Linked DNA regions of Lonchura striata. The protein of the gene in region 2 purifies or fractionates together with the protein of the main gene of each other region. This does not show direct contact. Links are inferred from orthologs where the notes say so. Each region holds a gene or a part of one and is shown on either strand. Other genes may lie near its edges.

Region 1 (7,351 bases), on a different chromosome or scaffold from region 2:
TGATCATTAACCAAGCTGCTTCACTTTTCTTATCACTGCAACAGCTCCAAACACCCCAAGCCCAGGGAATGGGGGCACACTAATAATTCTGAGCAACACCACACCCATAAGTAGCAGCAGTCACAGAAGATTTATTCCACATTTTCTCAAGCCTTTTTCCACTTAAAGGGATCCTAAGAAGTGTCATTATCTTTCCTTTGATTTACTTACACAGTTTCCAACTTATGAAATAATTTAGGCTCATTTCTCTGTCTGGAAAACTCAATAGATTAATTAAGATAATGAAGCAAGAAATGAGCCACTTACAGCACAGATTAGATTATAATCATGGCAATATACAAAGTGTAATGTTAACTGGTTTTGTCTATAGCTAACACATTATAAGCTACTTCAACAGATTGTGTGCTGAATATTTAAATGACACAAATATATCTGTACAATGAACTTTTGAAAATAGTGTGTTCAAATCCTGTATTGTAACTGTATTCTTCCTTATTTAGCAGCTCCACAATGTGAACTCTGCTCAAAAAATCCTCAGAAGAAAACTCAACAAGCCACACTGAGAAAAACAAATATTTTTTAAGCACCAATCAGCAAGGCCATAGAGTCAGGTCTAACATATCTGTCTTATTTATTAGTAGCAGTAAACCTTACTGAAAAGCCATGGGCTCAGAAAAATATTCACATGTTTGGAAATTATCCTTTTTTATGTCTAAAGCCTTTCAGCATACCTAATGTAGTAAGTAAAAAACTGGCATTTACAATACTTTACTCGCTCGAAGTACTAAAAAAAATAATATTCTAATTACATTATTAATGATAGAACCACTTTCTTCAACTTCTAAAATAAATAACAGCAAAGTAGCACAGCAACAAGGATGGAGTATAAACTGGACAGCCTGGTAGAGAACAGAAGTCCTTGACACTTCCCAGCCACGTTCTCATTTGTGTTTGACTTGAGCCCAGCCCCAGCTTTTGACTGTCTGGCCTGGAGGCTCATTCAGGCCTCTGGATTAAGCAGTCATGAACTACTTCTGGCAAACACAGAGGCTTTATCTCTCTGGCCCTCTCATGCCTGTGGCTCTACACCAGCCTGTCTGCATCCAGCTTCCTGCAGGACAAGCATGTTTGCCAGCTCACCCCTCCTGCACAGTGAACAGGGAATGCCTTACCCTGCCCCTCAAGCTGCAGTGGGCAGCAGCCAACACCATCTCATCGTGGGTGAAAGTCACTCCCCTCCCACTTGCCAACAGCAGCTACAGGCCCAGGGACCAAACAAAAGGGCAGCACCTGTGCTCCTACACGGGGACACACGGGGCTGATGCAGGGTTAGACCACAGCTCAGACAGGTCAGGCTGAGCAGTAGCAACAGGGCAGGTCCAGAGCCAAAGGATTTAGGTATCCATTATGCTGTCTGTCAAACTAGCATAGTCTCTAGTATTGCCCCAGTGAGGAAAAAACCTGAAAGGCCCTGCTGTACCTCACCCATCTGACATTAGCACTGTTAAATGTTCCATGAGTGACATGAAGTTTCATGTGATACCTAGCCTTACCCTAGACATACTTGGGTTTTAAATATTTCTAGGTTCAATACTATTTAACTACCATTGCCTTGGCTCCTGAAGGAATTATCCTCAGTAGTTTTTGCACTCTGTGTACTGGTAGACACAGAACTAATGCTTGAAGTCCGAGAGTGATTCTGAAGAACAGGTGCCTTGCTCTTCTCCTTTTTAGAATCTATCCTTCCATTAGGTTCTTTCTCTGAACTGTTGAGAAAATCAAATAGCAACTCATCATCAGGTTCTGACTTTTTTCTTCTCACAAAATGTGAGGCAGCTCTGGGTGTGGAAGCATTTTCTACTGGAGAAGCTGCCTCTAAGGATGTCCTACGTGCTGTTTTAACATTTGCTGTTCCTGCCAGCATTGTGGCCTTCTGGTGTTTAATATTTTCAGCTGCTGAGGAGATGTAGGCTGCTTTAGATGAGGTCTGGTATTTCAGTTCTCCAGTATGCTGGTGTGCTTCAGAATACTCGTTGGCAGAGTCCAAGTTCTTCTTATCATAAACCACACTGCTTGATGTGTCTTTTTTGCTCAGAGCTGATGCAGCTCCTTGATCAACTCTGTTGAGCAGATCCTCTGCCTTTCCAGCGAGATCAGCAAGCCAAGACATGATGAGTGTCTGTTGATGAAGTCTGTACAATTAAGATTTCAGGACCATGTACTGCAAAAGACAGAAGGATTTACAAATTAGATTGCTGCTGCTAAGGCAAGATGTATTGTTTATCTAAACTGGTGTGCAAAGGTATTAGTGCTGCAGTTATTGTAATACTTTTCTTCTGCTTATTTGGTATTTTGCTCTTTCGGTAACTAAGGGAACTAAACCAAACCAGTTTCTGAAAAAAACAAACAAAACCTCGGTTTTTAAACCAAGGTTGTTAAAATCAGACCACTGCATCAGTTGCTGGTATCTTCGGCTGCTACAGAGTATCACAAAGAGAAAACAACTACGCCTTAAGCCGTTTGGCCTGCAAATTCCCAACCCGGCTCAGGCCAGGATCCTCTCCCCCACAAACTCTGCAGCCCGCTGCCTCTCCCGTGACACGGCGGACAGCTGCGTGCCTTCACCTGCACCAGGGGCCTGCGACACCACGGTGGGGGCTGCGACACCACGGTGGGGGCTGCGACACCACGGTGGGGGCTGCGACACCACGGTGGGGGCTGCGACACCACGGTGGGGGCTGCCCCTCTAGCCCAGCTCCGGGAAGGCGACGCTCACAGCGGCCGCTCCCCCACCCCCAGCACCGCCTGCCCCCCGCCCTCCGCAGGCCCGGCCCCGCTCAGGAGCGGCGGGGGCCTCGGCCCGGCCCGGCCTCACCTCCTGCAAGCGCGGGGGGCGCTCTGGCCCGAGGGGAGCCGTGAGGGGCCGGCGGCGAGCGCAGCCCCAGCGCTTCCGGCAGACGTGGCCGCCTTTCCGGGGGCGCCGCGCGCAGGCGCAGGGGAACCGCCCCGCCCCGGCGCGCTCGGGCCCCGCCCCGGCGCGCTCGGGCCCCGCCCCGCCTCGCTCGGGCCCCGCCCCGGCGCGCTCGGGCCCCGCCCCGCCTCGCTCGGGCCCCGCCCCGCCTCGCTCGGGCCCCGCCCCGGTGCGCTCGGGCCCCGCCCCGGCGCGCTCGGGCCCCGCCCCGCCTCGCTCGGGCCCCGCCCCGCCTCGCTCGGGCCCCGCCCCGGCGCGCTCGGGCCCCGCCCCGCCTCGCTCGGGCCCCGCCCCGGCGCGCTCGGGCCCCGCCCCGCCTCGCTCGGGCCCCGCCCCGGCGCGCTCGGGCCCCGCCCCGGCGCGCTCGGGCCCCGCCCCGGCGCGCTCGGGCCCCGCCCCGCCTCGCTCGGGCCCCGCCCCGGCGCGCTCGGGCCCCGCCCCGCCTCGCTCGGGCCCCGCCCCGGCGCGCTCGGGCCCCGCCCCGGCGCGCTCGGGCCCCGCCCCGCCTCGCTCGGGCCCCGCCCCGCCGCGCTCGGGCCCCGCCCCGCCTCGCTCGGGCCCCGCCCCGGCGCGCTCGGGCCCCGCCCCGCCTCGCTCGGGCCCCGCCCCGCCTCGCTCGGGCCCCGCCCCGGTGCGCTCGGGCCCCGCCCCGGCGCGCTCGGGCCCCGCCCCGCCTCGCTCGGGCCCCGCCCCGCCTCGCTCGGGCCCCGCCCCGGCGCGCTCGGGCCCCGCCCCGCCTCGCTCGGGCCCCGCCCCGGCGCGCTCGGGCCCCGCCCCGCCTCGCTCGGGCCCCGCCCCGGCGCGCTCGGGCCCCGCCCCGGCGCGCTCGGGCCCCGCCCCGGCGCGCTCGGGCCCCGCCCCGCCTCGCTCGGGCCCCGCCCCGGCGCGCTCGGGCCCCGCCCCGCCTCGCTCGGGCCCCGCCCCGGCGCGCTCGGGCCCCGCCCCGGCGCGCTCGGGCCCCGCCCCGCCTCGCTCGGGCCCCGCCCCGCCGCGCTCGGGCCCCGCCCCGGCGCCCTCGGGCCCCGCCCCGGCGCGCTCGGGCCCCGCCCCTCCCGCGGGCGGGAGCGGCGCTCGCCGCGCGCCCCCTGGCGGCGCTCTCGGTGAGCGCGAGGCGAGAGGCGCCGGGAGCTGCGGGTGCCGCAGGAGCGCAGGATCAGCTGCGCTGGGAAAGAGCTCACAGACCAGCGAGCCCAGCTGCTGGTGCCAAACCCCCAGTGAAACCGCATTCCCAAGTGCTGCGCACTCCTGACCGTCACGTCCTTCCCTGTCATCTGTGACTCAATGTCTGCAACCTGCAATACTTGAATCATTTCAAGATTTACGGCTATTATCCCTCTTCAAATGCTTATTCTGAGTAAGGACAGCTGTTAAAGTATACATAAACTACGCTTAAGATACACTTAAAGCACTACATAAGGTTTTGTTATTGTTCATCCTCTCACCTCCCTTTATTTATTTCCTCAACCTTCCATACAAACATATCACAGTTAACCACCACAATTCACAGAGAGTTTCTACTCATGCCTGAATGAGCAAGAATGTGAGTGAAGGCAACACTTGTATCAGCAAGAATGTGAGTGAAGACAAGACTTACACTACTGGCATTTACAATACTTTACATACTCAAAATACTAAACAAATAATATTCTAACTACATTATTAATAATAGAACCACTTGCTTCAATTTTCTAAAATAAATAACAGCAAAATAGCACAGGGACAAGGATGGAGTACAGACTAGACATTCTGGTAGAGAACAGAAGCCCTCAGATCCTCCTCTGGTTGAGGACCTCTTGTCCTCCTGATTATAATGCTGAATGCATGGCTGGTGACTTACATCCGTGTTTCCCACAGCCCTAGTTGTTATCTTGTCAGATCACATCTTACAAGTATTCTCTGATTAAATTCACTGCTAGGCTGTTATCAAATTATCTGAATGTTTACAGAAGTTTCCTTATATCTTATCATGGTACTCCTCTTCCAATGCTGAACACACAGTATTTGAAAAGATTATGAAGAGTTCCTCTGTAGGTCAAAGGCTTCAAAATGTTTCTCTAACAGACATGAATTATCAATTATCATTGGCCATCCTTAGGACTTAAGCCCAAGCAGGAGACATCAGCCCTGCTGCCTATTCAGAACATACTCTTGGCACTAGTACTGGCATGAGTTAATAGAAAATCTATCCTGCCTCACTGCAGATCAAGCAACACATTGAAAATAACAGTAATAAACCAAACAAATTCATAACCTTCAACTTTTACATCACGTGAATCAGCTGCACATAAGCATCATTTTAATTAATGTGAATGTATCACCTTCTCAGGCACTAAGAAAAGGAAATATTTTTAAGAGATTTTATTAATTACAAGTTTATACTTAACTTGTTTTACTTAAATTGTTCACCCTTCAAAACACATGACCAATCCTTTCAATGGAAAAATCACATATGATTGCGAATATTTGAAGTATTTGATCATTACACACTAAAGTGACATGAAAAATGTTCAAAAGAAACATGAAGGGCCAAAGCCAAATCCCTAGTTTATCTCTGTCTTTTACAGAGGGGATAGAAACAAAGCATATTTCAATCCCGAAAATATCCTATTGCATCACTGCATCTAGCAATCCCTTCTCTGCATTAGAGTGTGAAAACCTGTTTAGGAAATATACACACAGCAGAAATGGATAACCAGCAAGAGGAATTCAAATCACATTTTAGCATGTACCATTCCACTCTAGAGCCATTGCATTGTTTGACTGAATCATGTTATAGATGCAGAATAGTTTAGATAAGTAAATGGCTGGACAGAAGTGCCTTTTATTCAAGATTAGGCAGACTCCTAGGATCACATCTGAACAGTCCACAGGCTGAGAATTTCCAGTCCTTGCAGAGGACATCATTATTTACCTTGAAGTAAATTCCATGGCAACTCTCTTTCCCTGTTCATTCTAAATGTTTAAAACAGGAATCCTGTATTCATAAAGGGATTGGTAAGAGTGGGGGAAAACAAATCCTTTAAGTCCTGTATAGATTTTATATTGAATTGTTCAGTTATATAATCATTCCATACAACAAATCATACTTTATGTGTAACCTGGGAAACATTTATTCCCTCTGAATGCTCTGATAAAACGTAGTAACTCCACTACATTCCCCCCACTATTTAGAGTCTCACATGTGATAATCTCTGCAACTGCCTGATTTCTAGAAGACATAAAGGTTACAGCAAAACTACTGAAATTTGTTCTATTTACATTTTCACAATCACTGACAGTCTCCAAAAATAATGTTTTTATTTATAAAATTATAAAAAATATAGCAGAAAGTTTACTGGCTGAGACCTGAATAGTTAGTGATATCTCTTTCCTTGGTGCTTCTTTAAGATGCATTTTTATTCCCATAACTGATGCTCTGAGGTTTCGCAGGGTGGGGAGGAAGATAGAAGAAGGAAAGAGAACTTGCTGCTTGTTCCACTGACCTATTTATAAAGTCCCTTAGGTCTGCTGTGTCAACAGTTACTTCTAAGAATGCTGTGACTGCCAGGCTGAGTGGTGAGAATATTTAATTCTGTCACAAGGGGCATACAGCTTCATTAACTACCACTGAAAACTTTTCAGGTGTCTTTTCAGTTTACAGGTGCCCTCCCCAGGGTCCAGGCCCTGATCTGAGATGCTACACATCTTGCTACATAGTTTGACAGGTTCTGGCTGCAATTCTCTGTCTGCAAGTACAAAAAGGGCAAGATTCATATCTAGCTGTAAAAAATTAGACTTTCTGTACAAAGCCTTTAGATCCCTATTCATACTCAAAGTAGAAGTAATTTTAAACTATAATTTACAGGCATTATTTTTGCCTATTATAACTCTCATTGTAAGGAAATTTAAATAACAAAGCTGGAAAATATCTGCCCCAATAACTGTAACACAGCAAGATTAACTTACTCTCTCAAAACTCATTGCAAGAAAACATTTGGGGTTTTAGGTATGATTTTTTTTTATTCAAAAAAGAGGCAGGCTCTGCAGTTGAAAAAAAAAATTAAAATTACTATTTTCCACTTTGACCTGATTCACAGGTTCTTAATTGTTCATTAAGGTAAATTTATAGGTAGAAGAGGCAAAACAGATACATAGTCACTTGACTTATACTAGGTTAACCTCTTCTCTAAGTATACTGAAATAAAACTTGAGTGGTTAGCTTCTGTAAAAGACTGTGCTGAAAACCATAAAGTACAAAAAATACAACAACAAAAAATACAATTTAAAAAATGGGTCATGACATCCTCAATCAGCCTTCTTTTTCATGTGTCATGATATATTAATACACAACTACATATCTGGTCTAAGGGTTTTGATTCATGCAGTATATTGGAAGCATGC
Region 2 (7,185 bases):
GAAATCCATGCTTAATATGCTTGCTATGTCCAAAGGGATAATTTGTAACTTGAGCAATAAGGCAAAATCTCCTTCAGAATCTTGACCAGATGCCATCTCCTAGAGAACTAAGAACAGACAGAATGATCCAGCAATAAGAATTTACAGTGACTTGTCAGTGGCTCTGTTCTGTTCAGCTGAAGTTCCTCAACATATTCATTGTCATAAAATAATAATAGGCAATAATAATATAAAGTAATAATAGGCAACTTATATAAAACATCTTTACTCTGTCATTTTAATTAACCCTACTGCTACTGTTAGAAACAAAGCATATTTTTGTTTTCTTGAATAGATTTGCTACAGTTCTTAACCAAAGAAGTTACATTTAATAAAATGAAAAAAAAAAAAAAAGTTGAAAAGGATCATAAGTGATTTAGAATTTCTCGATAATGAAACCTTTTGAAAAATATGGAAAAAATAGGAATGGTTGTTTCTTACACAAACTAGTATAGCTGGTATCACTGAGTTTATAATCCACAATATTCTGGAGTGCAATATTTTAGGGTAAAATTTAGTACTAAGCTAACATTAAGACAAAGAGAAAATATTCACAAAAGTAACAGACTCAAAAGGTGTAAAATGCAATAAAAATTCCACATTTACCCAGCATATAAAAAAATGTCATTTATAGGCACTGAAAATATTAATTATATTTGCATGCAAAAAGCCCAAGTGTCAGATTCTGTACCTGGGATGAGGCAGCCTTGGATGTATGGAGAGACTGGGCCAATCCTTGCAAGGTACTCGATTTGCCCAAGTCTGGGAAGAATCAGGTGCCTTTCTCAGTGTCTCCAGAACACAAAAACAGTGTTGCAGTGAGGAAATCCATGCTGGAATGAGAATCCATCCAGAATGAGATACTGGAAAGCAGCACCACAGAAAACAACCTGGAGGTCCTGGTCGATGACAAGTTGAACATGAGCCAGCAGTGCCCCGGCAGCCAGGAGGGCCAGCCCTGTCCTGGGGGCATCAGGCACAGCATGGCCAGCTGGGCAAGGGAGGGGATTGTCCTGCTCTTCTCTGCACTGGGGTGGCCTCACCTCAAGGGCTGGGGACATTTTGGACACCCCATATAGGAAAGACATGAAGCTCTTTGAGAGACTTCAGGGCAAGGACAGGAGGTTGGTGAAGGGCTTTGAGGGGACACCATCTGAGGAGTGGCTGAGGTCACTTGGTCTGTTCAGCCTGGAGGAGACTGAGGGGAGACCTCACCGCAGTTACAACTTCCTCGTGAGGGGAAGAGGAGGGGCTGGCACTGATCTCTGCTCTGTGGTGACCAGTGACAGGACCTGAGGGAATGGCCTGAAGCTGTGTCATGGAGGTTTAGGCTGGACATTACAAAAAGGTCCTTCACCCAGTGGATGGTTGGGTACTGGAACAGGATCCCCAGGAAAGTGGTCACAGCATGGAGCCTGAAAGAGCTCAGGACTTGTTCAAGCCAGGACTTTCGACTTTGATGATCCTTGTGATTCTCTTCCAATTTACGGTATTTAAAATCTCTACGTGAGAGACAAGATAGCAAAACCTAGCAGAAAGATAAAACTGGCATAACCACTTTTCTTCCAGTCATTTTCTCTCCTTCTGCATTTTTTTCTTTAAAGGTTTGATGGTGTAGAACTTTAGTGCATCAGCATTTGGGCTTTGCTAATAATGATTTTTGTCTTGCTGGCATTTCTTGCTTTCCACTTACATTTTTTTTCTCTATCCTCAAATCTCCTGAGTCACAAGCAGATACATTTGGAGAGTCAGACCACCAAATGAGACTTTTTCTGTGTCTGTGTGTGTACGGCACCCCACCTCAGATCTAAACTCACCATTAAGGGTACACAGAATTTAAAGGGATCCAGAAATGACCTCTTCCTCTTTCAATTAACTATGCAGTCATCTGATTAACATTACTAGTTAATTTACTAAATAAAAGAATTGTTGGAATCCTAGACACTGAGAATTTTAAACTTTCTGTGCTTAAAGGTACAGACCCACAAGAGAACACTGCATTTGACCTAAGGTTGTAGAACAGGCTTTTAAAATTTATTAATAACACTGGGATTACGAGTGTGTAGTTGGTTAGAAGTAGGGTAGGAAATTTAAGAGTTTGGGATTTTAGAATATAGAAATAAGTATAAAGCAAGATAGAAGTTTTAGGGTGCAGGCAGATTGTTCTTTTTTACCTTCTTCCTTCTTCTTCATAGGTTTAGGTGATGTTTTGTGATTAGACAGAAAAGTCTGTATTCCAGACTTCAAAGGGTCAGTTATTAGATTAAAAAGGAAAATAATTTAAGTGTCCTTTCTTAATTGGATAGTTTAGTTTTAAAAGACCTTGTAACAAGAGTTAGTTAATCATTTAGTACCTTATTAATGAAAAAGCTGCTCTATTCACAGTAGTGAGACTATAACATAGGTAAGAAATAAGAAACACCTAAGTTCAAACATAAAATACCATCTCAAGTACCTTCAATCCGAACCTCGAGAAATCGATAAAGTATCACTCGTGAGCTGGCAAATGAAAGCATAAATTCTTCCTCTTATTAGTACTTAGAGTAAAAGAAACTTAATTCACAGTTAGAAACTTAACACAAGCTCATTTTTCCTCAGTTCCAAACAATATTTAGTAAGTACAAAATCTATTGTCTAAAGGGCTGTATAATTGAAATACATTGTGAAAATGATTAGTTAAGTGAACTAGCACCAATAGCAGGAAACACACAATGCTCTGATGAATTACTTTTAATAATGAAACAGAAATGAAAATAAGTTTGTATCACAGGTTTCTCAGTAAAAGCTGAAAGAAACGCAGATCATCAAGGCAGACTATCTTCCATACTCTGGAGGAAAATCTCTCCTCGATTCACGACGTGTAATAAGGCTACGTATATTAAGACTGAAGCTGCTGCAATTGTTCACACAGCAAGCATTAAAATCAGTTCATTCTCCATTCAATGCCTATCCACAGCAAGGCCAACGGGCCTCTCCCACCTGGCTGCCACGCCTTTGAGCTCACTTCCTCATCTTTACTTCAAGTTTTCCTTGCTAGGCAGGATCTGTAATGAATAGGGCTAATGCCTTTATTAATGTTCAGCTCTTTATTAAAAAGATCAGCTGGGCAGGGGGCCTGACACGGAGCTCGCCCCCACTGTTATAGCTTTACCAGGTAGCCACAGGGGAAGGAGGCATGCATAGTCTGTAGCTGAAGTCCAGAGCAGCAGCACGCCCCTCTCCTTTCCTCGTGGTAATACTAGGAAAATCTGCTTTTGTTACTGCTTCCCACAGTCCACTCCAGTCTAGTCTTCCGCAGGTGATGGTGACAGGTCAAACATCGATCCTTCTCCCTCAGCCAGCGCACCTGTCCAGCCCCCTCTCTGTGTTTAGCTCTCCACTTAGGGGTGTCTTTATCCCCCAAAACACGCTCTCATGGTTCCACGGGCTCCCCTATTTGCATCTTAGTCCTAGAATGGCGGGGGGGAAGGGGAGGGGAGGCAGGTAATCTCCAGGTAGTTTAGACAGAGCAATTAGCTAATTAACATTTCAATATCAGTACTTAGCTAGAGCCAGCAGTGTCCCACTATTGCCATGGGAACCAGGAAGGCTCTTTTGTTCATTACAGGATCGATCTGCCTTTTTATTATTTTTTTCCCTAAAATGAAATGCAAGCAGAGAAAAAACTGACCGAATGGCAGTGAACACTTAATGACGGAATCTTTCGGGGAAGCGTTGAAGTCAAACATCGCCGTCCTGCGACTGAAGCAGCTGTAGGAGTCAGGGCTACAAGACCTGTGTCCCATCACCATGGGGGTGGTCGGTGCCTTCCACTCTTCCCACGTCTCTCCTCCACCCCTTCTGCCCCCAAGCTCGCTCCCAGCCGCCTGCCGGCCTCCAGCACACAGGTGATGTACTCGCTGCGGCCGCCCCGCGACGGACCTCTCTTCCTTCCTGGGTCCCAGACCCCTCATTCCCAGTAATCTCCTTCTTTTGGAAAACTTGGGTGTTCTCCGAGGAAGCTCCCATCCGTGTGCCTACTTGCGCCTCCCGGCCGCCCCCCCGCCCGTGTGCCGCTACCCCCGCGGCAGGAAGGCCAGGGCGGGCCGCTCGCAGCCCGCGCGAGCGGCACACGGCACCTGGGCACCGGCACCCGCCTGGGCGCAGAGGCGGCAGGGGATGAAGGTGAGGGCAGAAACGAGGCACCCGCGCTGCCCAAGCGTGACCGCGGGGATTTTGGCACGGCGGCCTACTTCTCCTTTCGCTGACGCGTCTGCCTCCTCCCCGCCCGCCTCCGGCAGAGAGATGCTGCTGCAGGCGGGTGGGTGTGCGCTCCTCCCTGCGTCAGGAGGTGCGGCTCCCCCGGCCCGGCGCTGCCCTCCCCTTTCCTCTCCCCCCGCCGCTCTTATGCCTGTCTTTAAGCGCCGCCGCAGTGAGGGTTGGGCACATGTGGCTGCCACCGCCTGCCCGCCGCTGAGCCCCGCGCCCGCACGGCCCCGCTCGCCATCCTCGCCCGCGGGGGCACCCGGCCCCCCCTGTTCGCAACGGGCGCCCGGCGGGCGGAGGTAAGGCACGGCACGGCATGGCAGGGCACGGTACGGCACGGTACGGCGCGGCGCGGCGCTGAGCGCGGTGCGCGGGCGGCCCGCGCTTTCCCAGCCCTGCCATGCGGCCGCGGGAGCAGCGTGGCCGCCTGGCCGTGTCGCCGGGCGGGAAGGGGCAGGATGAGTGTGGGGATCCTTTCCGCCGGCGGCCGCCTTCCTGTGGCTCGGGGGTCTCCCTAGCCCGAGCGGGACTTTGGCCGTGGTGCCAGCCTCTCGCTGGCGCGGAGAGAGCCGGCCCCTCGGGAAACAATAGCGAGCGCCGATTAGAAGCCGCCCATGTGTTTTAAGTTGGCGGTAGGTTAAAAGGATGTACGGTGCTGTTTTAATCGCCGTAATTATTATTATTATTGCTGTTGGCAAGGGCGAGAAACACATCTTTTTTTCGAGCGAAAGAAATTTCATTCATCTCCCGCGTGTTGCGTAAAAAATCTCAGCCGCATGTGTAGCGCGTGTTCCGGGAGCAGCGGGGCGCGGGCTGTCTCCCCGCCGGGAGCACCCGGTGATGTGCTCGCCGCACGGACGAGCCCGGGCTCGGGGAGAGCAGGGCCAGCCGGCCGCTGAGGAGCCGGGTGCCGCGGGTCCATCCGCACCATGTGCCGCGGGCGGACGCGCCCCAGGGCGCGGGCCGGGCCCGGGCGCTGCATTGTTGCTGCGGAGCGTGGGCGGCGCCCGGCGGGGCTCCCGGTGCCTCGCGGCGCCGCGCCAGCCGCGGCTCTCGCCCCGCGAAGGCGGGGGCACCCCGCGGCCGGGGGCTGCTGCGCCCCGGTGTCAGCCATGTTTGGGTGGGTATGGTAATGAGAACCTTCTCCCAACCTTCGTGCCTCTCGGATTTATTTTCTGTGCAGGATTTTGATGGTTGTAGCCCGCCGTGTACCACGACATGTCCACAGGGTAGATTCATACCTGCAGTGTTCTAGTGATTCTTTTCCTCTTTGATTTGCTTATTAATCCGTTTAATTTTCTGTGCCCCTATTGCCTGGATTTTTTATCATTTTGCTAGTGTTAGAGCGAGCTGGAACTTCTTTGCAAGGCTTTGCTTTTGTGGTGGAAGTAAATGAGATGATCGTAATACGAATGCACAGTCACACTGACCTGGCACGCATGAGAATTGAGGGTATGGGGTGATTGGATTTCATCTATTTAAGTAAATTGCACTGCGTTTTACTTGTTAAAGACCACATTATCATCAACTATTTTATTTTCAGTGTGCTGCTGCTACATAACAAGCTCATTGCTGTAGTGTTGTTTTCTAAGATAAGCCTAATAATTTCTAAATAGTATATTACCATCTGTGTGTCACTGTGGCATATCACAGGATATGGACCCAATTTCCCCCCTACAAAGAAAAGTGCAAATGAAGTAAAGATTTTGTTATCTGATGTCATATAAATATATGCTGGATGTATTGTGCAGGCAGCTTTCTCGCCATTTGATTAAAAACTGATGACAACATAATCAGGTTTTTTTCTGTTTAGCAGTATATTTCCCATTATCAGCATCACATTAGAAAGGAAACTGTGAAAAATACTTAGGAAAGATTGCTTAATTTTGTTTTGGCTAATATACAAGTTTTTTGTTTACCCACACCCCATATTAATATAATCATAGACTCACAGCCTGCATGCGGTGCATATTGGACACTCCCTTTGGGCTCAGCTCTGCACTTCAGACTCAAGAACAAAAAATCCCATTGGTTTTGATCTATGCCTGAAAAACCAAACCATTCATAGCCGTTCAGATGTGTCACCAATACAGAAAGCTGATTATGTGAATCTGCCAAGGCATCTTGAAACTAGTTTTATAGCATAATCTGATTCTTTTTGACTTTTCATGTCTCGTCATTGTTACGGTTGTCTTTTTTCCATATTGCAAAATCCTGCATGCACAAGATTTTTAAAATGCTGAATTAGTGAGGAAAAAAAAAAAATCACAAATTACTCAGAAACACAATCTACTCATTGCAGCTATTCCTTTTTTTCAGATGACATTGTTAAGGAGTAGTTGCTGCTCAAGTGGTATGGAATTACCACTTGTAGTGTTTGTGGTAGAATCTTTCTGGGAAGATTTTATTTTGGAAATTCTCTAGAGTACTGTTCCAGAAGTATACACAATATTAAGGACATTTTTACCCGTTTTCCCAGCTATTTCCCTTATTCTGACCATTTCACTCATCTCCATTATTAATGTTCTTAATTAAAAGACAAAATACCTGTTGATTTTGGAAGAACAGTTTTCAGTCCCAAATGTTAATAGATCGGCATAGCAATGGTAGCAGCTTTTACACATGATTTTAGAGATCTCTGAATTCTCAGTTGCAGAATAACTTTGACGTATCAGCAGGTGGCCACTTGAGCAACTCCATTTGTCCTTGAAAATTGATTCAAAGTAACCTTGCCATTACTCAGGCAATGTGTTGAAATAATTCAGAGGGCAAAAAGTGTCACTGACAAATGACAACCAAATGCTATTCTACTGAAGAGCTTTAAGCACAAATCCTGGTGAGACAGTACAAAGGGGTGTGAAAATGCAGTGGTAAGTGCCAGAATGGTTGCATTAAGCAACA
Region 3 (7,501 bases), on a different chromosome or scaffold from region 2:
ACCCAGGGATGTTCCTTAAACCAACCTCCTTGGCTTTCCTTTGGGATAGGCTGGAGCAGAGGTGCCCACCCACGTGGGGCTGCCCTTTGGAGGCCAGAGAAGATGAATGCCTGGCTCTAAGACAGGGTCTGCTGCCTCCCAGGCAGTGTTGGAGTTGTCTGAGACAAACGGACCTTGGCAGGGACAGCACGACAGCGACTGACACACAGAAGTTCAGGGTCAGGCTGTGTTTGCAGCATCACCCCACGACCCTGAACAAAAGGCACTGAAGAAGCTCTTCTTTCCATGCTTCCTTCCTCTAGGAGTGGCAACTGCTGTCCCCAAACAGGGACGGGAAAAATCTGATAGTTTAATGATGCTGCTTGTTCAACCTTTCTGTTCCTACACAAAGTTTAGTGAAGATGTGAGGAAGAAAAGGCCCCACACCAGGATCTGTAAGATGAAGGTGTGATGGGGGACTGATGTGTAAGATGCAGGTGTGATGGGGACTGATGTGTAAGATGCAGGTGTGATGGGGGATGTGCATCTGAGAGTACAGCAGAGGAGGAAAGAAGCCACAGCAGGGCCAGCAGCAGCTCCTGGCTCAGGGCATGGGCCTCCCTGCCCCAGCTCAGCATCTGTCTGTGTCATGGTGCTCCCCCAGCAGTGGGGCTGGAGGTGTGCAGAGCTGGATTCTGACACAGCCTCACTCAGCTGCTACTTCCTCTAAAGAAAGCAATTTCAGTTTCTCTCCTTTCCCTTTGTCCCCAGCCACACTGGAACCCTGAGGAGGTTTGCAGAGGCAGTGATGGGCATGGAAAGGGTTATGGATAGGGGGGAAAAAAGCAAAAATAGGAGCTGTTGCAACAGCCCCTTGCAGCCCCCTGACCTCTGTCACTGCACAAGGCAGGACATCCACCACAGGCAAAGAGATTCCAAACTGGTAAAAAGCCCTTCAGGGTCCCAAAGCCACAGGAACCAGCACACAGTGACCCTGCCCAGTGCCCAGCAGGGCAGCAATGTGTACCAAGGTGCTTTTCATAAGAATGGTTCTTAAAGAAAGCAGGGACACGATGTTTGCACCTCAGAAACAGCTGCAGAAAGTGGAGCAGAGCGAGCTCTGATGGTGACTCTTTGCACGCTGAGATTGAACTCCCAGCTCCTGCTCTCACCTCCAACCACCAAAGGATGCTCAGCTTCTACCAGAGGCAGCTGCAGCACTTTGTGGCTTTCAGGGCAGTGTTTCTCACACAACAGGAATTCAAAACAAAGAAGTTTGTTCTGACACCAAAGTTTTTAAAAATTTTAATCACATTTTCTGAAGCTGTTTGCATTGATAGCAGCTCTTCTCCCCTCCAATAAAATGTAAAAGGAGACGGAAGAGACCAGGAGGAAAGAGATGTAGCCACAAGAAGAAATCATATTCAACAGCTTTTCCTATCCCTTGCTACTCTTTTTTACTGACTTTGTTTCAGTAGAAATATTCCAACCAACTCTGCTTTCTCCCAGATGGGAAGGAAAGCTCCAACTTCACTGCTGGCACAAGGTTTGATTCCTGACTGTGTCTAGCGGGCCAGGTGAAGGTTTGCTGCGCAGATGGAGGCTCCAAAACTTGCATCTCTTCCTTCCCCAATTGCAGCACTGAAATTCGTGGGTGGAGGAAGATCCTTTCCAGCTCTCAGCCAAGGACCAGGCACCTCAATTTGCCTTTTTTTTAAGCCTCCAGCAGCTGTGCTCCAGAGGTGGGTTCGAGGACAACTTCTTGGCCCAGGGAACAGCCCTCAGCAGGTGCATGCCAAGGGAAAGGGAAAGAAGGAACAGGGAAAGGCAGCAATGGAGCAGCTCTATGGGATTTAGCTCCCCATTAAAGGCTAACAATAGGCCACAGACTACCCCACAAGTGCCCTATATTTAACTCTTTCCTTACTGAGCTTATTTCTAAAATATGGAAAATTTCCTTTTTTTTTCTATCTTGGGGCCAGCTTGGTTTGAGCACCCTGTTTCTAAGCCCTGTAAAGAACACAGATGTGGCCACACTCAGAGTGCAGTGTGTGCCTCCACTATTTGTCATCCTCATCCTTCCCAGCCCAACTCCTGCCTGTGCTCTGCCAAAGCCCCTCTGCCTGCTCAGCCTCTCCAGAAAAGGATTCCCTTTGCCACAGAATGGAGGAGAGGAAGTTCTCAAGGGGCTCCCATCCAGAAAAAGCATTAAAAATCAGCTCAGACAAAAAGAAAGACAAGGACTGTGTAAAGGCAAGGAGAGAAAATAAATGAGGAAGGCTCCCCCACAAGCCTCAGGTGTCTGGAGACACCAGAGATGCTCAGTTACGTTGGCCAGGAGAGGAGATGAGAACGTGGCACTCAGATCCTGAAGTCACTGACCTCCCAAGGGAACAATTAACCACTGCCATGAACTTCCAAAGTGCTGAGCCCCGGGATTCTCTAGGTTCCAGGTAATTGCTTCTCCCTTCTCTTGCCCACTAAAAAGAGTTGAGTGGGAAGGAGTTCCTGCAGAGCAGTGAGCAGCTCTGCTGACACCAACCACAGCAGGACCTTTCCTAGTGCTGAGAATTTCCCCTGCAGGTTCTCAGGAACAGCTGGAAATGAGTGGCTGCATTTATCTCAGTGAGACCCCACTGCCAACATCCCAGCAGAGCAGCCTAAATCATCTTCGTTTCATAGCTCCTTTCCAAGGACTAAAATACACTTTTCTCCTGTCAGATCAGAGCTGTCCTGCCCTCACTTACATTCCTGGGAGTTCTCAATAAAGCACAGCCAAGCCCTGGGACTCCCAGTCCACGGTGTCCCCATGAACTGTCCCACCCTGAGAGGGCAGAGACTGCTCAACACAATTCCTCCACAGCTCAGACACAGAATTTTGAAAATACAGGTGAATCACAGCACTCAATCGTACAGTAACTGTCTCAGTGAGTAAGACTTGGTTACAATCCAGTATTAGTAAAAAACACTCCATATCTCACCTCACTTGGTGACATTGTTAACTAGCAGCCAAGACAGGAGGAAAACTGATTAAAACTGAGATAAAAATCAAAACCCGCTTTTGTGAAACTCATCAAAAGTCACGATCAGACACAGTTAAACACTCCCGGATTTATCTTCCTGTTGCCCAGGCTTTGTTGCTGCCCTGAATGTTCCACAGCCGGCAGCTCAACAATGCGCTGCCACGTTTAAACCTGGAGCAGCAACAGTTGTGGTTGTGCAACGCCGGATCTGCGATTGTTCTCGGGGCTGCATTGTTCGAGCCCCGCTTTGCAACGACCACCCTCCGCTCTTAAAAAAATCCCAGCAAGCCTTCCAACTCCAGTCATTTCAGTGCTACGATTTTCAGAAGGATTTCATGAGTATTTCACTCTCAACGATCTGTACGATCGCATCTTTCTAGCCACGGCAGCGGAGTCGGTTTTGCTGTGAAATTGCATTGCCAAACAAGTCGGCCGCTGCCTATCACTCGTTTTACTCGTTTTATCTGGTTTATAACCGAGAAGCACTGAAAGATTGTGCGAAGAGGGGAGAAAGAGCCCAAAGGATGTGAAGTTTAAGGGCGAGACAAAGGAGCCGCTGGACTATGGACTGGGGGGGTTGCACTCTGTGGAGCTGGAGAGGCGATCCCGCAGGACAGGGGGGCACGGCGGAGCAGCAGCGCTAATCCAGCTCCCCAAGTTTCCTCCCGTCCTTTCCCCCTCGCCCCGGGCAGCGGGAAGGGAGGAAAGGGGCCAAAGCAACGGAGAGGGAGCTTACCTGTGCACTTCCTCTTAAAGGTTTCGTAGTCTACCCCTTGGTCTCCAGGGACGATTGTAGAGCCATTGTACTTAAACGTCACCCTTCGGAGAGGGAAAAGACAAGGGGAATAATACAGTTAAAAGTCAGCTTTCCGGATGGGGGAAAGGAAAGGGGAACAACGCATTTAAAAGTCACCCTTTGGAATGGAGGAAGGCGAAGAATACACTGAACAGTCTTTAGGAAGGGAAAGGAGGAGGTGGGGAAGAATAGGCTGTGAAAAACCCATCCTTTAGGAAGAGGGGAAGAGGAGAAGGGGGCAAGGTCTGTCCAAGTCACCCTCTGGGGAGCGGGGAGAGAAGGACGAGGACCCCCAGCGCACCGCCGCCCGTGCGGGGGGATGCCGACCTACCAGTTCACCTCGGTGGCATCGTCCCTGACGAGGTTGTACGCCTCCCTGCACGCCTCCTTGTCGATTTTGGTGGCCATGGGGGCGAAGGGGAGGGGGGCAGCGCGGAGCGGCGCGGAGCTGGGGGGGCCGCGGCCGCCGCTGCTGCCGCACCGCGCCGAGCGAGCCGAGCCGAGCCGAGCCGAGCCGAGCCGAGCCCCGCCAGCCGCGGCCGTCCCGCCCCCGCCGCCGCCGCCAATGGCTCTGCGGGGCCTGGCCCGGCCCCTCCCGGCGCGGGGGGACCGCGGTGATGCAATAGCCGGGGGGACGGGGCCGCGGGGCCGCGGGGCTCGGCCCGGCCCGGCGCGGCGCGGACCCGCCGCGGGGATGCTTCGGCCGGCCGCCGCCGCGCCGGCGGGCCCCCGGTGCTCTGGCTGAGCGCCGGGAGGAGGAAAGAGGCAGAGGCGGCGCCCGCGATGGAGAAGCCGCCGGCGGCGCGGCGGGGCCGGGGGCCGGGCCGGGCGCACGGGAGGTAGCGCGGAGCGGAGCAGGTGAGCGGGGGCGAGGGGCTGTGCGGAACACCGGGGGCTGTGCGGAACACCGGGGGCTGTGCGGGGAACCGGGGGCTGTGCGGGGAACCGGGGCTGTGCGGGGAACCGGGGGCTGTGCGGGGAACCGGGGCTGTGCGGGGAACCGGGGGCTGTGCGGGGAACCGGGGCTGTGCGGGGAACCGGGGGCTGTGCGGAACACCGGGGGCTGTGCGGGGAACCGGGGGCTGTGCGGAACACCGGGGGCTGTGCGGGGAACCGGGGCTGTGCGGGGAACCGGGGCTGTGCGGGGAACCGGGGCTGTGCGGAACACCGGGGGCTGTGCGGGGAACCGGGGCTGTGCGGAACACCGGGGGCTGAGCATCCCCCGCATCCCGGCCCCAGCGCTCGGAGCGGCCCCGGCCCCGAGCGGCGGCTCCGGCGTGACTTTGGGTGGTGACAGCCGCTGCTGAGACGGGTGTGTGCGGGTGGCCGTGTGTCTGTCCGTGTGTCTGTCCGTGTGTCTGTCCGTGCCTGTGTGTGGGAGTGTGTCCGTGTCCGTGTGCGAGCGGCTCGCCCCGTTCCAATGCAGCGATCTCCCCCTGCCGGGCTCCCGGCGCTGCCCAGGAGCGAGCCCGCATCCCGGCGAGTCCCTGCGCTCCGCGGAGATGCTGGGAGGCTGAGGCTGCCTGCAAGGCTGCGCTTCAGCCCCACAGAAATAGAGATTTTTCGGGCTTTGCAGAACCCTGCTGGGAATAAACAGTACCGGGTGATGTCGTTGCCCAAGGACTGGAGTTTTACAAACCAGTCCTTAGGCATTTTAGTGGATTTCTACCCAAAACCCGTGTGACATGCAATTTAATAAAAAAACTGCATTCCTTGATAAAAAGCAACACAATTTGTTTCTTTTGCAGTTTGCAGGGGATGACCATTGCTTGTTTCCCATCAGTGTTGTCCATGTGAAGGCTGAGCAGTAGGGGCCTCATTGCCACACTGAGTGCTGTCAGACATGAGGGACAAGACCTGCAGAGCGAGCCAGGACTGCCAGGGACCCTTTAGTGGCACCGAGGCCCAGTGCTGCCCGCAGCTCCTTCCAGCTGCAGCCCCGGCCCTGAGTGACGTGAGGCTCCCGGAGCTCAACACGGGCGCTGCTGCAGTGCATCTCTGATTCGATGAGGTCATAGGGAACAGGGAAGGATTTCTGAAGTCAATACAAGTGTAGGACACCGGGTGAATCACACTCGGTATCTGTAGGCTGCAGGCTCTAGATGATAATATAATCACCCATTAATACGTCTGGATTTATATTGATTTTCTTTGCTTTTAGGAACACTTCCATTTTTCAAAAGCCTTTATGCAGAGCATTATCTGCTCATGAATGTATTTTTTGTGGTCTGTGTTTATCATCCTTTGGCACTTGCTGCTGTTTATACCTGTAACACTGCTGCTTGTCCTCGTCCTTGTCCCTTCAATCCCTGACCCTCAGCTCCTGATGTTTGCTAGTGTAGAGGAGGGTGACTCCAATGTCATCCCCTTAGGAGGAGAGAACCTCATCCTTGTGCACATCTCTGTGACCCCAGTGGCTGGAGCATTAATTCTCTTAATTAGGGACTTCATGCCTCACACTTTTCAGTGCCAGATCCGAACATCAGAAATGCACATCTTCCTTGTGGGGCCAAAAATCTTCTTCATTTTGCTTCTCTTTTTTGTCTTTTCTCACTTTTCCATGGATTTTTTTTTTTTTTTTTTTAATGCATGGAGGGATAAGTATTGTGCTCAGTTTAATCAGGCTGTAACTGGAGTGAGGAAATTACCTACATTTTGAACTTGGTGAGCTCTGGTTTGCTTTTCATATAGCAATTCTGAGACCTCCAGAACATGGGGCTTTCGTTCTGTGAGGAAGATGTCAGTGGCCTGGCAGAAATACCTGTCCATGTCACATGAGTCCTTGGAGAGGAAGCACAAGAGAAAACGAGGACTTATGGACCTCCTCTAAAAAACATCTCCAGCAGGCATGGAGTCCTGGGAGTCTGGAGTGACCTTCAGCTGTCTAGAATGTACCATGAGGTTCAGAAAGGGTCTCAGAGAATTTGGAGGGAGCTGAACAAACAGGATGGCTCTGCACAGCCATGGGCACTCAGGAACTTTAAAAGACACCCCTGCAAGTGCCTTGTCCCTGTGTCTCTTTGCCATCTCCCCCACTTTTTGCTTCTTCTCCAGTCTTTCTCTATGTCTGTCCCCAATCCTGCTTCTCCATTCCTGGCTTTTCTGTGCAGAAGCAGGAATGGAGAGAACAATGCTCTCCTTCAGGAAGATGCTGCCCTGAATTTTCAGGTCACAGTTAGCATTGCCATTGTCAATTTACAGGTGACAGTATCGGGTTGTCAATTTACAGGTGACAGCACTGGGGTTGTCAATTTTCAGGTCATAGTATTGGGGTTGTGAATTTACAGGTGACAGCACTGGGGTTGTCAATTTACAGGTGACAGCATTGGGGTTGTCCATTTTCAGGTCATAGTATTGGGGTTGTGAATTTACAGATGACAGCATTGGGGTTGTCAATTTTCAAGTCACAGCATTGGGGCTGTCAGTTTTCAGGTCACAGTTAGAATTGGGGCTGTGAATTTTCAAGTCACAGCATTGAGGTTGTCAATTTTCAGGTCACAGCATTAGGGCTGGCAGCAGAGTGGGTTTTCACTCAGACAGTCGAGGGTCTTTACCCAGGTCCTCATGGTCACACGGAGAGACCAAAACTGGCAAAAACACTTTTTATCTCCAGACTCAATAATCAACAGATGAGTACAAGTCCATCATCCTCTCTGGTTTCCTGGGGTGTCCTTGGCTGCTGCCCCAGCCCTGGAGGGTGGCA
Region 4 (7,317 bases), on a different chromosome or scaffold from region 2:
CTACACATTTTCCCTTATCACATGGAAAAAAAATACAATCACACAGGAAAAAATATATCCATATAAAGCTGGTAATCCCTAGTGCAGTACTTAAGGGTCAAATGCAACCCAACAGCAGAACATCCTCATCTGTACATGCTGCGTTGTCTTAGCAGCGCATGCTTGTTGAGGCAGCTGAGCAGAGAGAAAAATCTATTGTGCAACTGCTGTCCCTTGTCAGAAAAACCAGATGGTGAAAGTACAAAAACACCTTGTTCCTAAAAGGAGCTTCCCTCTCCCTCTTCTCAGATCATACTTGTAGCACCAAGAACAAGCTTCTGCCCTCCTGAAACAAGCAGAAAAAGGTGGTTTTTTTTAATTGGCAAGAAAAAAATTCAAGCACAAGCCCCCCATCATAACTTGCCCCATCCCACAGCCTACACAACTGAACACCACAGACTCATTCTTGGATGTCTTGTTTTGCATGACATGACCTGAAGAGGTATCACAGCAAACTGTAGAACTGTCCCTGAACTATGGACAGACTTGGACCCTCAAAATAGATTAACTCGAATAAAGCAGACGTTGTAAGCTGACAACACAGGCCATGTAAGAAATAAATCACAGACACTGTGTCCTTCCACTACACAGGGGATAAAAACAGGCAAAGCCAGGGTATCACCTGGGATGCACAAACAGCCACCACTTTGCAGACAGTTCCTGTAATTTGGCCCATTAAAGAGGCAACAAAAGCAGCAACATCCTGACTGAACACTCTGCAGGTGTGAGAGCCCACCCTCCCTCCTGGAAAAGAGGGGGAAAGGCCTGGGGAGCCCCATGGCAGGGAGCGGAAGAGAAAGCTTAAGGAAGCTATTAAGTTAACACAGCTGAAAAAGGCCTCAGCCATCAGAGACTTCAGCATCCTGTAACCTCAAAGCCAAAAAGCTCTTCTCAGGAAAAAACATGCACTCTCAATTCAACATCCCAGGGAGTTTCAGCAGCCCAGCTAGCAGCACATTTCACTGTTAACACAATAGTTATTAATAACTATCCCTTATAAAAAGAAATAGACCTTCCCAAATTATTTAAATAACCGACTTCTTGAAAGTTTGACCTGCAAGGATAGAGTACTTTTCCCAATATTACTGATTAATAGCCACAGTTTAGATATTGCACATCAGGTGCTCTTGCAGGTGCTGCCAGGACCTGGCTGTAGACAATCATCCTCTGTTGGGCTTCTAACCAAGACACACCTGTGAGCAAATGAAGAGGAGACATCCCACAACAAGCCACTTCCTTTCAGGGATTCTCCCCGCACAAGTATTCTGAGGACAAAGAATTCACAGGCAAGCAAGGCCAAGTTGAGATAAGCAGAATACCTGGGCGGATTGAGCTTCCTCACTCTCCCATAGCAGTCTAATTTAGATGACTCTTCTCAGAATACTTTCCAATTTTTTATTGCCTTTTCTTTATATATACATTGGTTTATATCATATCTATGTCAAATATAATTATGTATTAATTTAATTTTTAATATATTGAGCAGCATGCAACTCCAGAAAGCATTTAATGCAAAAGTAATAAAAACTCGCAAGTGTAACGATAACTCCACAAAGTTGGCATTATTTCCTCCCTTAAGGCAATAGGAGAGCTCTCACAATTAACCATCGTCAATACGCCGCCAGATACTTCTCCACAATTTTGCGCAAAACATATTGGCTCACCTCTTGTTGCAACATTTGATGACACTAAAAAATAATGATTAATGATCTAGGAATAAAGAATGTAAATTGTGGTTATTCACAGGTGAAGGCAAGTCATCCAAACAAGACTATCTCACTGGGCCATCTGGATTGCTCCCTCAGGCCAGAGTGATCTTTACCACCTCAGTTCCTGCTATTCAAATCCTTTTTTCCACTAACAACTGCATATTCTCTCCTCAACAGTTATCTTGATACCATTCACAGTCCCAGAAATTACGGAGAACAGATTCATTCTCACCCAAAAGCCTAGAAACATTTTGCTTAAGATGTATTTAACAAATGCCGATTTAATAGGTGGGATTTTTTTTTGAAGTACAAGCCTTGCCTGAAAACCTCGAAGAACAAGATGAAATTGGACAAAATCTACTTTCCATAGTCACATAGTGATGTATATTGCATGGCCACTGAATGCTGTGGGTCATTTCACTTTTCCTCCTTACAGCTGTTTCCTTGATTTGGGTGCCCCTCCTCCTTGGAAAAAGCGTGCTAAAGATTTAAATCTTATCATGTCCAACAACAATTTAAAAACACCACTGCTCACCACTACCATGAGCTTGAGAAGGAGAGCTTTTGCACACATATTAAATACGCCCCGTGCAGAAAGCAGTTCCTCCGCGAGAAACTGGGTGTCCCTGAAAATTTAGAGGCAGCCGGCAACTGCGGCGCTGTACATGGCTCAGCTTGGATGGGAGTCGCCTCCTCTGAGCATCAGCACTGCTGGCAGCAGACCTTTACACCCTCCGAGAGCACGACCCGCTACCATTTAGCCCAAGCGCAGCGCAGCTGCCAGCGAGCAGCGACAGCCTCGCCCAGGCCATGGTACAGCCTTAGGTGACAAGGTTTATTCCGCTCAGGGTTCAGGGGCAGCGCTCCTGAGCCTACACAGCCGCAAAATTAACGCAGACCTCTCGTTTTACGCGAGGGCTTTAAGCCCGAAGCTGCAGCCGAGCAGAGCTGCTGCCAGGCAGGACGTGACCCCCAGGAGGACGCGACGGGAACGGAGCGCACGGGCGCTGCCCCGGGGGAAACCAGCCGGCAACACCCCCCTTCCCCTCCACAGCTCCCGCCTACCTCCAGCGTCTTCACCAGCACCCACATATAGGCCTCCGAAATGCCCAGCGAGATGCCCAGCGCCGAGGGCACCACGATGAGCCCGAGCACCGCGGCCAGCCACACGGCGCCCGCCTGCCCCAGAGCCCACGCCACCTCCATGGCGCGCCGGGCCGCGCAGCGCCAGCGCCGGCCCTAAAGGCCCGGCCGCCCCGGCCCGCCCCCGCCCGCCTCGGCCGCCCCGGCCCGCCCCGGCCCGCCCGCAGCGGTGTGGGCGCTGCCGTGGCTCGGGCGGAGCCGGCGGGCGGGGAGCGGCCGGAGCCGGGCGTGGCGGCGGCGGGCGGGGCGCCCGCTGTGGGGAGAACGGCTGCAACGGGGGCCGGCGGCGGGCAGCCCGCGCAGCGCGAGTGAAAAGGAAAACCGGGGAAAGCTCCTGGCTCTGCCAATGTCAAAGTGGGCAGGAATAGCTAAAGAAAGGAAAAGGAGCAAGGGCTGCGCTGTGTGTTTCTCCCGGTTTGAGCAGGGAAGGGATTCACTGAGGGTCCGGCTCCCGCAGCGGCATTAGGCCCTCTCCGAGAGCAAGGAGACTTCGTGACAACTGGCTCTGCCTGTGCACAGCCAGCCCTGCAGCACCAGGCGTGACACAATCCGTACCAAGAAAGCGGAGTTAGGAGAAAAAGGCTGAAGAGGGATGGCAGCCTTGAAAAAGCATTCCGGGGAAAGGGAAATAACATCATTTTCTGAGAAAAAGGCAGTCAGCATATTTTCTGTGGCAATCCTTCACAACTGTTTCATAGAAATGGGATGTCTGGTGTGCCTCTTCGCATTTGGACGATCAGAAATGTATCTGAGAGCCAAGTGCTCAGGATCCAATGAAAAACCTAGATTGGAGTCCAAGGCCTAAAGAACTATTTCCTTGGGAGTCATGTGGACAAGGGCATTACTTTCTGGCTCCTATTTTTGGCTCTGGTGTCTCTCCTCCTACCCTTTGCCTCATCTGGTTAAATAACTGCTCTGAGGCAGAAGCAGGACGATCCCTGATGAAGCCTCTAGACACAACCACAATTGTCCAACTGGATCTGATATTGCCAAACAACACTTCAGTGTCTTTATTCTTCTAAGTGTTTAGTTACGATCATGCCCATAAGACCCAGTTAGGATCAAGGCCATAACCTGTAAGTGCCATACACAGGGTAAAAAAGAGTTCTTACTATCTGCGCTACAAGTGGTTTTAAAATATTACAAAGATGTGTAGATTCAAGTAAATGAAAAGTGCCCAGAGCCCAGAACAGAAACAAATCAAAAGAATATTGCTTTCCAGACTGGCTGATATTTGTAACACAGATATGGCTAAGATATTTTAATTTTGTATTTTGTTGCTTCCCAAGCAGAAAGTGATACAGGTTTTTTAGTACTTGCTTGTGAATTTTCATCTGGGGTGTAAATGGCAGAGGCCAAAGGCTTGGTTATTTTGTTTTCATCTGACGTTAAGGAACAAAATGCTTCATCCAAAGGACAGATGTAGCCCAAGCAGCAACAGTAGATGCTGTCTAGATCCTGAGGAAAACAGTGCAGTGTTTACAGTAATGGGTCATACTATCTATCTACCTGAAATTTCAGTACCTTCAGTACCTTAAACAGCAACTAATGGCATCTAATTGCAATACAGATAATCCTGTACGAGGCAAAGTGTTGCCTTGTAGGTTTGTTGAGAAAAAAAATCTTAAAAACTGAAAATAATTTGACTTAGTCCATGTGCTTGTTAACCTCTTCTTTAGTGAAATGGCACACCATATGTCAAATTTGATGGCGTGTGGCAAATTCCTGAGTCTCAGAAGGCTGGAATCCATCAGTCTACCTGGAGTAACAAAAGAAGATTTTGGAGACCTCTCCTTGTAATATTCATCACATGGAATTAAGGCATTGCTTTTTTTTTGCTTCAATAGCCTGGCTATCAGACCTGCTGGCACTGTCCTCAGGCTCCATAAACAAAGAGCAGGAAGGGAACAGCCTCTACCAGCATTGGTGTTTTAAGAGGAGAGGAAGGTGGCTGGGTTGAGCCCTGCTCTCACTATGCAACAGTGGGGAAAAACACTGTGAAAATGTGTCATGACAGGAGGCAGTTTAGGCACAGGCAGCCATGCTGTGTGAGCTAAACAGACCAGGACAGAGGCAAGATTTGCACATAAACACATACTCTTATTTATTGCATCCAGGCTTCCCCTCCATGCTTGCATGAATAATTCACAAAGCTATTAATGTTAAATGGGAAGAAAAAAAAATCAATTCTGTTATTGAGTTACTTGAAAAACCACCTTGTCTGCCTGGGACAGCAGGAAGGAAACATGCCTGCTCGTCCAACAGCCTCCTGGTGACAGAGCTGCTACCAAAGTCCTCTCATGACTGTGCTGAAGTTCAGCCTTTGCACAGATCTTGCACTCCCATTGAAGAATAGTTGGCTGTTAACTGCAAAAACTGTAGACTTATTAAAAAAAACCCAACAAATCTACTTGCTCTCCTTACCGAGTGACCTTTGCCTTTTAAAGATAAAGCTGTTATAAACTGCTGACTGCTGATCATCTATCTACTGAAAATTTAGTTTCAAATTGATTACATCATTACATTTTATTTGTTTGCACTCTAATCTGTGAGGGCATAAAATTTCTCTGCCTTACTTTGACCAATGAGCCTGTTCTCCTAAGAGAGGAGGATTTTTTTTTTTGTTCAAGCACTAAGACCTTACTTTCAGTATGGGTAAGACAGTATGATATACATTGAAGATACAGAAAAAGTGTCAGTTTAAAATATTTTCCATACTTTAATTTTTTCAAGGCCTATTTAATGTAGAAAGACTACAGTTAGTCATGTTTCTAATAGAGTACTTTTCAAAAAGAAAAATCCCATGAGAATATACCAGTATTGCCATACTTGGAAGAAAACATTTTCATATATCCTTATTTTTCAATTTATTTCACAAATTACAGTGCATACCAAAAAAGTTGTGGTTGAAGTGATATGCTTCAAGTTTATCTAAATCATATGTTCCAAATGGATGCGAAAATCCAAATGGATCCAGAAAATCCAATGAGAAAATGTTTGGGTTTTTTTCTTTAACTTTGCAAGAAGTTGCTGAGATTCTTAATTTTTGACATATTAATACTAGCAACAGTGTATTTTTAGTCACTACCAAGAATATGTTTATTGTCCAAATAAACATGACTCTGTGATGTAACACATTTTTTTAATGGAAGTTGGATTGAATCAAAGACAGAGGAAAAGGATCAGTCTTACCACAATGCTTTCCTAAATTTTTTGGGGTGTTTTTTGTTTGTTTGTTTGTTTGGGGGTAGGGGGGTGTTTTGGGTTGGGTTGGGTTTTTTTGGTTTTGTTTTTTGGGGTTTTTTTGTTTGGTTTGGTTTTGTTGTTGTTTGTTTTTTGTTTGTTTGACCATGCTTACTTTATCCCTCCTAATTATCAGCACCACTCAAGATTTGGTGGTATGGAACACGGCTGCAAACTTGGTTTGCAGGATGGGGGAAATCTTGTTAACCAATCCAGGAAGAGAGCCTGGACCTCATGAGACAGCCCCAGTCTCCCTTTGCTAAGTTACTGCATATGTTACTGGCTTATGGTAGGTCAGATTTAATAAAAAGTAGCATTTCATTTGTCTCCTGTCACTGGAGCTGGGCAGCTTCAGAATATCAAACAGTTCCATTTCATGTAAATATCAGTGTATTATTGCAAGTAAATAGGGTCAGGGTGGTTATCCCAGTGCTCATTTTTATCTTGTGCTGTTGAGGAATGGCAGGTAGCCAGCAAACCATTCAGGGGAATTCTGCATTCTGTCATCTGTCTTCTGGCTGCAGGCAGGGTATGCTTTCTCTCTACCACTGTATTTGCTATAACTCACTGTAAAAATTGGTACGTTTTATACAAGGAGTCAGATGTTTTCAGCTTCACTTTGTATCCTAAGTGGAATTTTACTGTCTGCTGTCATGGACTTCTAATTCTTATTACACTGAAAATAAATAAAAGTAGTTTGGCTTCCACACAGCCTTTGAGCCTGGCAATGTGCACTGACGGAGCTGCAGCCTTGTGTGTTGTCTCCAGCAGCAGCAAGGGCTTATAAGCACTGTGCACTTCATAAACACAGCACCCAGGCATGCCCCACCTCAAACAATTTAATTTACAGACTTTAGAAGTTTAGGTTTCTAGGAATTAATCAATCCAGCTCAATTAAAACCAACCAACCCAGCAGACGTGCTAGAATTTGTGACACCAATACAAGGAGCAGGCCACAAGGATGGCACCTCCTTTGGCTGTTGACCATGATCTGGCAGCCTGGATTTCTACTGCATTGGGAGAGAGGAAACAGGGAAGGAAAAAACATGGAAGTATTATTCCAGAACTCCATGGTCTCCTTAATGACCGAAAGTTCCAGGTCAATATAATTAACCACTTAAAAAGAAACTTTTTTCCATTCACAGCAGGATTTTAAGGAAGGACAAGACATGCTGATAGCCAC

Evidence for each region.
Region 1: the proteins of SLC6A15 (region 2) and GOLGA5 purify together in Homo sapiens (co-immunoprecipitation; 3 studies listed by BioGRID and IntAct, counting the BioPlex papers as one, with this or other methods). This does not show direct contact. The link is inferred for Lonchura striata from reciprocal best matches to the Homo sapiens genes SLC6A15 and GOLGA5.
Region 3: the proteins of SLC6A15 (region 2) and KLHL36 purify together in Homo sapiens (co-immunoprecipitation; 3 studies listed by BioGRID and IntAct, counting the BioPlex papers as one, with this or other methods). This does not show direct contact. The link is inferred for Lonchura striata from reciprocal best matches to the Homo sapiens genes SLC6A15 and KLHL36.
Region 4: the proteins of SLC6A15 (region 2) and glycerol-3-phosphate acyltransferase 3 purify together in Homo sapiens (co-immunoprecipitation; 3 studies listed by BioGRID and IntAct, counting the BioPlex papers as one, with this or other methods). This does not show direct contact. The link is inferred for Lonchura striata from reciprocal best matches to the Homo sapiens genes SLC6A15 and GPAT3.

Annotation. Positions count from the first base shown.
Region 1 is NC_134608.1:15,951,499-15,958,849, forward strand, and holds the start of GOLGA5 (golgin subfamily A member 5), read right to left. Parts: upstream 3,002-7,351; 5' UTR 2,876-3,001; intron 2,222-2,875; 5' UTR 2,171-2,221; coding exon 1,606-2,170; intron 1-1,605. UniProt on the Homo sapiens protein: Involved in maintaining Golgi structure. Stimulates the formation of Golgi stacks and ribbons. Involved in intra-Golgi retrograde transport.
Region 2 is NC_134607.1:50,534,617-50,541,801, reverse strand, and holds the start of SLC6A15 (sodium-dependent neutral amino acid transporter B(0)AT2), read left to right. Parts: upstream 1-4,181; 5' UTR 4,182-4,203; intron 4,204-4,411; exon of another isoform or gene 4,412-4,583; intron 4,584-7,185.
Region 3 is NC_134615.1:20,615,754-20,623,254, forward strand, and holds the start of KLHL36 (kelch-like protein 36), read left to right. Parts: upstream 1-4,491; 5' UTR 4,492-4,656; intron 4,657-7,501. Other genes in the region: COTL1 (coactosin-like protein), read right to left, coding at 3,739-3,821, 4,130-4,206.
Region 4 is NC_134606.1:66,493,263-66,500,579, reverse strand, and holds the start of glycerol-3-phosphate acyltransferase 3, read right to left. Parts: upstream 3,004-7,317; 5' UTR 2,955-3,003; coding exon 2,814-2,954; intron 1-2,813. UniProt on the Homo sapiens protein: Converts glycerol-3-phosphate to 1-acyl-sn-glycerol-3-phosphate (lysophosphatidic acid or LPA) by incorporating an acyl moiety at the sn-1 position of the glycerol backbone.